2 linked regions of the Elephas maximus indicus genome follow. The protein of the gene in region 2 purifies or fractionates together with the protein of the main gene of each other region. This does not show direct contact. Links are inferred from orthologs where the notes say so. Each region holds a gene or a part of one and is shown on either strand. Other genes may lie near its edges. The genes, in order: SH2D4A and PPP1R7.

What was found.
Region 1: the proteins of PPP1R7 (region 2) and SH2D4A purify together in Homo sapiens (affinity purification with mass spectrometry; 3 studies listed by BioGRID and IntAct, counting the BioPlex papers as one, with this or other methods). This does not show direct contact. The link is inferred for Elephas maximus indicus from reciprocal best matches to the Homo sapiens genes PPP1R7 and SH2D4A.

What each region holds. Positions count from the first base shown.
Region 1 is NC_064840.1:56,716,469-56,720,372, reverse strand, and holds the start of SH2D4A (SH2 domain-containing protein 4A), read right to left. Parts: upstream 2,769-3,904; 5' UTR 2,348-2,768; intron 2,178-2,347; exon of another isoform or gene 2,009-2,177; intron 1,785-2,008; exon of another isoform or gene 1,698-1,784; intron 1-1,697. UniProt on the Homo sapiens protein: Inhibits estrogen-induced cell proliferation by competing with PLCG for binding to ESR1, blocking the effect of estrogen on PLCG and repressing estrogen-induced proliferation. May play a role in T-cell development and function.
Region 2 is NC_064824.1:143,066,792-143,070,695, reverse strand, and holds the start of PPP1R7 (protein phosphatase 1 regulatory subunit 7), read right to left. Parts: upstream 2,745-3,904; 5' UTR 2,660-2,744; coding exon 2,608-2,659; intron 1,089-2,607; coding exon 960-1,088; intron 1-959. UniProt on the Homo sapiens protein: Regulatory subunit of protein phosphatase 1.

The sequences.
Region 1 (3,904 bases), on a different chromosome or scaffold from region 2:
TCTCACATACTTTGGGTATGTTATGAGGAGGGACCAGTCCCCGAAGAAGGACATCATGCTTGGTGAAGTAGAGGGTCAGTGAAATAGAGGAAGACACTCAATGAGATGGACTGATACAGTGGTTGCCACAATGGGCTCAAGCATAACAAGGATTGTGAGAATGGCTTAGAGCCAGGCAGTGTTTCATTTTGTTATACACAGGGTCGCTATGAGTCGGAATGGACTGAGTGGCACCCAACAACAACCACATGTGATATAATCTAGTATGACGCCATGGACACAAGTGGAGCCAAGGTAGAGGAAATAAAAATGAGGAAATTAACTAACCAGGGTTTTTCCCACTTTCATTCCCTGATATGATTCAAACAACTCCTAGTTATTCAAGACTAATAAAAAGTTCAACTAACTTGGTTTTTTTCTTGTACAGCACTTGTCCTAAAAGACAGAAAAGATAAGCAATAAGCTCACACCTACTATGCATTTCAAAAACCAATTTCCAAAGAGTCATAGGATCAATTCAGTCTTCCATAAAGTCCATAGATTTCATCTGATTCTCCCATCTGCCACAGCCGCTGAACCCCTCAAAGATTCCCCCCCAAAAGGCTGAAACAGCCTAAATTATAAAAATATTGTGGTATGAGCAATACAATTTTAACGTTATAATAGAGCTTTAACTTCTAATTCTTTGAAAATAGCCACTTCCATTTTCAAAATTCCCTTATCTTGTTCAATCTGTAAAGGGGCTGCTTTTGAGGACAAAATGAATTACCAGAGAGGACAGCAATTTGGGAAGTTGTTTTATAAGCATATATCAGCCTTCGGAAATTTGAATTTACTGCAACACAAGGGTTTACCTAGAGAATTCCACTCATGACAAATCTATGGCCACATTATGCCTTCCACATACTTATTCACTTTTAAAATACTTGTATCCAATAATTGTAACAGGCTTTTATGAGGTGAGGAGAATCTAAGTTTAGAGACAGGTGCAAGGGTTGCTTCCGCCTCGAGACCCTTGATCAAGGAGACACAACGCCGAGCAGAAAACCTACAAACCGTGGTTTCTCACTGCGTCTCCCAATTCCCCTCCCACCTCTATTCAGACTTGTGCGTGGACCCCGAGGAAAGGAGCGCGGCTGGAGCGGGCAGGGGTGCCCACCTGTTTGAGGAAGGCCACCCGGAGCACACTGGCACCGTGCCTGGCTCTGCCTTCCAAGCCGGCAGCCTGTGGCCCACCTAGGCCAGGGAGGTGGCGCGCACCGATCCCACGTGGCCGCGCCCGGGAACCACTGCCGAGTAGGGCGCCGGCAGAAACAGTTTTCCCAGCCCTCAAGAAATCTCCTCGAGGAGAAAGTCAATATGGTGCTATAGACGCGGGGTGTTTGTTCGCACAAATGTGGCGGTGGACGTCATAAGGTGGACGGGTGACCCAGAACCAGAGCGAAGAGCGAGAGAGACGTGGCTCCCCAGCACCGTTCTACTGCTGGAGTCCAAAAGCTAGGGAGCGCCAGATCCTCCCACGCCGGCCACCCCGAGGCGCCCCGCCTGCGCCCGGTGCGTAATCATGCGTTGTGTGCTCACACACCCCTCGAATACACGTATCACCCGCCGGGATCCCCAGAACTTCCCCGAAGGCCTCCCCCTCTAGCTTCACCCCTAGAACCACAAGCCCCCGGCCCTCCGGGGCCGCTGCTCACCCAGCCGGCGGCTTCGGACACCCGACACCTGACATCTGACACCGTCCACCAGCCGCCGCCGCTGCGCTAGCCGCTCGGCCCTACACCTGAGCGCGCCCGGGGCGGGACGGAAGGGGGCGGAGGAGGAGGGCGCGCGGCCGGGACCGAGGCCTCGCCCCGACCTTCCTCCGCTCACAGCCCCACCTCCCCTCGGTCCCCGGGCCTTCACTGTCTGGCTCGAGAACACTCCGGACACACGCACACGCACACGCACACACACTTCTCCCAGGCCTCCCCTTTCTGGTCTGCTCCCCCCCCCCCCCAGCATCTACCTGTTCAGGGCACTGGGATCGCGTGGGCAGGAGGACCCCAGCACCTGCCACGTCTAGTTGGGCCTCCAGAAGTTGTCGGGAAGGGAGGCAGGGAAAAGCAAAGGCGCCCGCGAGCTTTACAGACTGGCTGGACAAACACTCAGGCGGTGATGTTGGCAAACAGCGTCCCTCAGCCCTGGCCCGCCCGCGCTGCCCCACCCGCGGCCCACATGCCCGGCTGACTGACTGGGCACTTGGGGCCCCACCCGTGCGCCAGGAGAGGCTCCAGTGGAAGCTGTCAGCGAGACTTGGCTGCCTACTGCATCCCAGGCAGGGCTTGTCCTGCGCGCTGACCCCTACCTGCTGTGGGGTCCCTTCACACTTCCACTCCCAGTTAATTGGAGGTGTCGTGTGTAGTCTGTGATGGCTTGCCACGCCATCTCTCCGGTCCTGCAGAACTTATTAATATCAGCAGGTCCAGCCTCTTCTTCACTCCGAAGTTCAGGGTTTCTTGCAAGGAGGAGTCTGCAGAGGCCCAATAGGCCCTTCTCAGTTACACTGACCGGGTCCCGCAGGCCAAGTTGGCTCACCCTCCCGGGTTCTGTTCTTGCGTCTATGGAGCTTTTTTTCCTTTCTTTCTTCCTTTGTTTTGTTGACAGTAAGTAAATTACCAAACTCTCAGGCACTTGTAAGTAAGTACAGGTATGGCTTTGTAGAACAGGCTCCCAAAACAGAAAAGCTGGGAGGATGGAGCCTGAAAAAGAGAGAAATGGAGACGAAATGAAAGCAAACTGGAGAAAAGGAAAGGAAGTAAAGGAATCTTGTGAATGCAGCAAGAACAGGTCAGGGTGGTGCGTGAGGACACTAGGGAGGAGCTGACAGACGACTGGAAAAGGGAATTTTGGAGGGAAGTTCAGCAGAAGCACAGTGGAAAGATTATAGGGCATTTTGGCATGGCACAGGAACATTCAAAGTGTGTGGAGAAAAACCGCCTGCTTTGATGAACCCTAATTGCAGGTGTGTTGGGAAGAGATAAACAGTGAACACTCAGTTTCTCCTCCCCTGCACAGCCTACCTGATACATTCAGGAGCCAGGCTTGCCTGGTTCAAAAATAAAACTGTTTCTCATTTCTAGTGTCTCCGGACTGAAGAAGATTCTCAAAGTTAGAGTCTTGGGCAGGGGCAGATGGGCAGAGAGCAAATCCTGGGTATTGTATGGAAAACATGACCCAGCTGTTTAGGAGCCCATTCTAGGAATCCTATTTGGGGAGAATTTCTGGCCTGATTTGGTTCTGTTCCCACTGCTTATTAAATAAATGCCCTGGCGGGGGGCGGGGGGGGGGGCTTTAGGCTGGAGTGTGATTTGCCAATGCTTAGCTGATGTGGCCAGCTCAAAATGAATCCTAAAACTTAAGGATTTTGAAGTTTTTTAAAGGGTGGTTTATCAGACAGTAGGACACTGGTTAAAACCAATTACCTTCCTCCACACTAAGTTTTTCTCCATGGCCTGACAAGTCTCTCTTTATAATAACTGTCTCCCTTTGCTACCAATTTTACCTCAGTTTACCCATTGGGATAATAGCAGCACCTATTGTATTGAATTGCTGTGACAGCAATAATACATGTAAAGAGCTTACAACAGATCCTGGCAAGTGATAAGTGTTCAAGCATGTTAAATCATATTATTCCACACTAAACCGAAAAAAAAAAAAACCAAACCCGTTGCCATGGAGTCGATTCCAACTCATAGCAACCCTACAGGACAGTGTAGAACTGCCCATAGAGTTTCCAAGGCTGTAATCTTTACAGAAGCAGACTGCCACATCTTTCTTCTGAGGAGAGGCTAGTGGGTTTGAACTGCCAACCTTTCGGTTAGCAACCAAGTACTTAACCACTGTACCACCAGGGCTCCTTTAT
Region 2 (3,904 bases):
TCTCCCTTAAACAAGTAAAATTACATGTTATTACTATTGTTTCTAAAGTAAAAATAAGATTTTAACATGCATCCTGTTTGGAAATTTGCTCTTTTCAACTAATATCAGATCCTGGACATCTTTCTGTATCGTGTGGCTTCTCTTACTCTGCTCAGCGTATACTGGTTTTTCAAGCAAATGACAAAAAACAAGGTTTGGGCTGCAGCTGGGAGGGCTGAGAACCACCGTCATGGACTGAGGACTTATCTCTACATTTCTTCTGTTGCTGTCAATCACAAACAACAGGAGGCTACTGGGGCATTTTCCACATAAACTGATCTTCCTAATAGCTAGGCAACGCAGAGTCGATCCTCAGGCCTACAGAAACGGGGAGGCAGGACTCATATAAGTTCTCAGAGATGCTAAACTGCTCTTCTGAAAATAGTTTACTTCACAATGACAGAACTTCAAAGCACAGCCGTCAGCTGTAGTGCTTACTTCAAGCCTCACTTTCTGAATGTCTGCCTAATAAAACTATGTCTGGCTCTGCCTGATGAGACACCAGCACTGAGATCTCCACTGCAGTGGTTTGCCTCCATCCCCACTGGCAGATGCCCTCAGGGAGTGGGCTTGCTCAGGGCACGTGGACCTGCTCTCTATGCTGCCTGGGAACCACATCTCCAGTCCTGGTGCATGGTGGCCCTCCCCAGGGTCACACACCCTTCAGCCACGTCAGCGAGATCAGCCACTCCACCCAGTATCTTTGGGCCCTCTTCACCCATGGTCACACACCTCCCATCAGCAAGCTCAGCCGTCGCCTGCCCGTTACCTTCAGGTATTGTTCAGCTAGGGTCACACACCTCCCCTGACCCCCTCAGCAAGCTCAGCTGTCGCCCACCCATTACCTTCGGGTCCTCTTCACCCAGGGTCACAAACCTCCCGACCCCCCTTGGCGAGCTCAGCCATTGCCTGCCCGGTACCTCCTGGGTCCTCTTCGCTGCGCTCCTCTTTGTCCTTCAGGCTCTGAGCGCTCAGGTCAGCCACGATGCCACTGCTCTGCTTCTTCCCTTCCTCATCCCCTGACTCCTCGGATTCGACCCGCCTGTCGACTGAAGCCACATACACAGTGAGAAATCATGCCCACTTCACTTGAAAATCTGAGTGACACAGGACAGACTCACACCTGGTCCTCGAGCAAAGGGACTTTCTGCAGACAGTCTGCTCAGTCTCGGACTATGAGCATGAGTGTCTTCCATGTCCATGTCCCAGCCCCATGTCCAGTGGCAGGGCAAGCTGAGGGTAGGGGCCAGAGACACTAAAGTGAGTACCCATGGTAACAAAGCAGGGCACCTTGTGCACCTCCAGCTTTGGGCTTGGATGCCTGCTGCAGAGGAGACCCTTGTGGACCCTGTACAGCCTCCATCTGGTTCCCTATTTGTGTGGCCCCAGCAAAGCAAGGTGGCCCAGTTCACAGGTCCAAATTCTGAAAGCAATCAAGACTGCCTCAAATCAGACTATGGGCAGGCAAGAGCGCTGGTGGAAAGGAAGAACGCAGCTAAGAGACTGAGAAGCCTGTGGACGGTCACTGATGCTGATGCCAGTGGACACAGGACAGTGCCTCAAAGCTTCCAAAGGCTGGCACATAAATGTTTTTGAATTCATGAATAAAGCATGTGCCCTCCAAAGGACCCCTGGTGGTGCAGTGGTTAAAGTGTTTGGCTGCTAACTGAAAGGTTGGTGGTTCAAACCCACCAGCTGCTAAACAAGAGAAAAATGTGGCAGTCTGCTTCCCTGAAGATTTACTCCATGGGGCGGTTCTACTCTGTCCTCACAGGAGTTGGAATCGACCTGACGGAAATGGGGTTTAAGTCCCTCCCTGGCACCACCTGCCACTCCTCACATATGACCGTCACCCCAAGTCACACTCTCCTCCAAACAGGTCACGTTCTTTTACACCCCTTTGTCTTTGGCTGTGTGGTTTCCTTTGCCGAAATGATCTTTCTTCTCCTACCCCACAACCTACCAAAGCCAAAAGCATGCAAGCAAAGACATGACTGACTCCCCGATTGTGCGTCTGTATACGTGTGTATACAAAAACAATGTTTTCTATCAAAATGAAAGGGGAGAAAAGAAGTTGAATTTAGTTTTTTCGGAACTAGGAAAGCCTTGAGAACTGACACCGCCTTCTAAAACTCAATCTTCCGACTCCTCGGCTCCTTGTCATCCCTTCGCCACAATTCAGTCGCTTGCCAGAGGGGACCCTTCTCCCCCCATCCCGTTAACAAGGGGCAGACTCTGGCAGGTCACACAGCCCCGAGCCTCGGTTTCCCCGCTAGCAAACGCGGACCGCTCTCCGCCTGTCAACCTTCGACCGGTCAGTGAACCACCGCGTCCTGCTCCGTCCCCACCCGCCGGCCCCGAGCTCTCGCCGCCGCTCTCCCGCGGGCCTGCCCCGCGCTGCCGCCCCCGGGACGGGACTCTCCCGGGGCCGGAGTCCACCCGCTCCGCCGAGCCTGCCGGCAGCTGTCAGGGGCCCCGCGGCCGCGGCCGGAGATGAGACGCCGAGTTTCTCCCAGGTGAGGGGCAACGCCGGCCCGCTGCTGCCTCCCGCCCGCTGAGGCCACTCACCCTCCATCATCTCCTGCGACTGTTGCTGCCCCGAGCCGCGTTCCGCCGCCATGTTGGCTGCTCTTCCCCGTTCCGGAATCTGTCGCCTCAGAGCCCTCAGCCAATCAGGGCTCCCAGCGCAGAGGGCGCCCAGCCAATGGGAGCCCGGCGCCACGGCTTGCGCCCCGACGCGCCTGCGCAGCCCTGGCGCCTCCTGGAAGTTGTAGTTCCTCCGAAAGGCCGAGTCCGCTCTCGGCACCGGCGCTCCATGGGAGTTGTGGTTCCGGCAAGAGGCTGAGCCCGCCCACGGCCGGGCGCCGCCAGCCTCGGGTTCCCCGGGGCAGGTAACTGGAGCTGGCCGCGCCGGAAGGCGAGGAGCGGGCGGAGGGGAGCCGTGGCGGGCGGCGAACGGAGAGGGCGTCTGGGCAGTTTGGAGAGGAGACTCTGGCACGGGCTCCAGGCTCCGGGCTCATGTCCCCGTCCCGACCACCGAGGTGCAGAGGGGCCACGGCTCAGGCCGAGCGCAGCTCCTCGTGGGCTCGCACTGCGCAGTGCGGACCCCGGCTGCTGCGACCCTCGTTGGCCGCATCTGTAAAATGGGCCGAGCGGCAGGAAGACAACTTTCTCTGGGCGTCTGGAGCGCGTGCGAAGGGGTCGCCGCTCGTTAAGGCGCCGGGCAGGTGGGTAGGTGTGCAGGTGCGGAGGAGCCGGTCAGGCAGGCAGGCCGACCCCAGGCCGCCGTCCACACCCCACTTGGTCTCCTCTCGGGCGCGCCCGCTCTGCGGTCGAGAGGGCGTACGCGGCAGACGCTCCGCTGCGCTCCCCGGCCGAGGAGGGAGCCGCCCCCGCGCCCGGTCTTCGGGTCGACGTCTCCGAGGGGACGAGACGCCGCTCAGCCTTGGGCACCCGGAGGCCGCGGGAGACGGCGGCGCCGGCCGGGCTGCCGGACGCGCTGCGCCCGTTTTGGCCTCTCCGGGGTGCCGTAGCGGGCGTCCGGCGCGTCCCTTAGCAACCGTCAGCGCGGGCTTCGCGCTGAGTCCCGCCCACCGGCAGCAGTGATTGGCCCGCGCGGCCTGTCGATCGGCGCGAGGCCGTCGCCGATTAGCCGGTGGGCCGGACGCGGGCCGCCGCGCGGTGCGGAGCGGGCTGAGGCGGCCAGCCTTCCGGGCCGGGTCGGGGCCTGCTCGGAAGCGCCGGCCGAGGGGCTCGAGGCGCGAGGAGCCCTCGCTGCTGCCCCGCGACGAGCCGGACCCCCAGCCCGCGGCCGGGAGCGCGGGCCTCGGTTGGCGGCCGTTTGCGCGCCCCCCGCGGCCGGGGG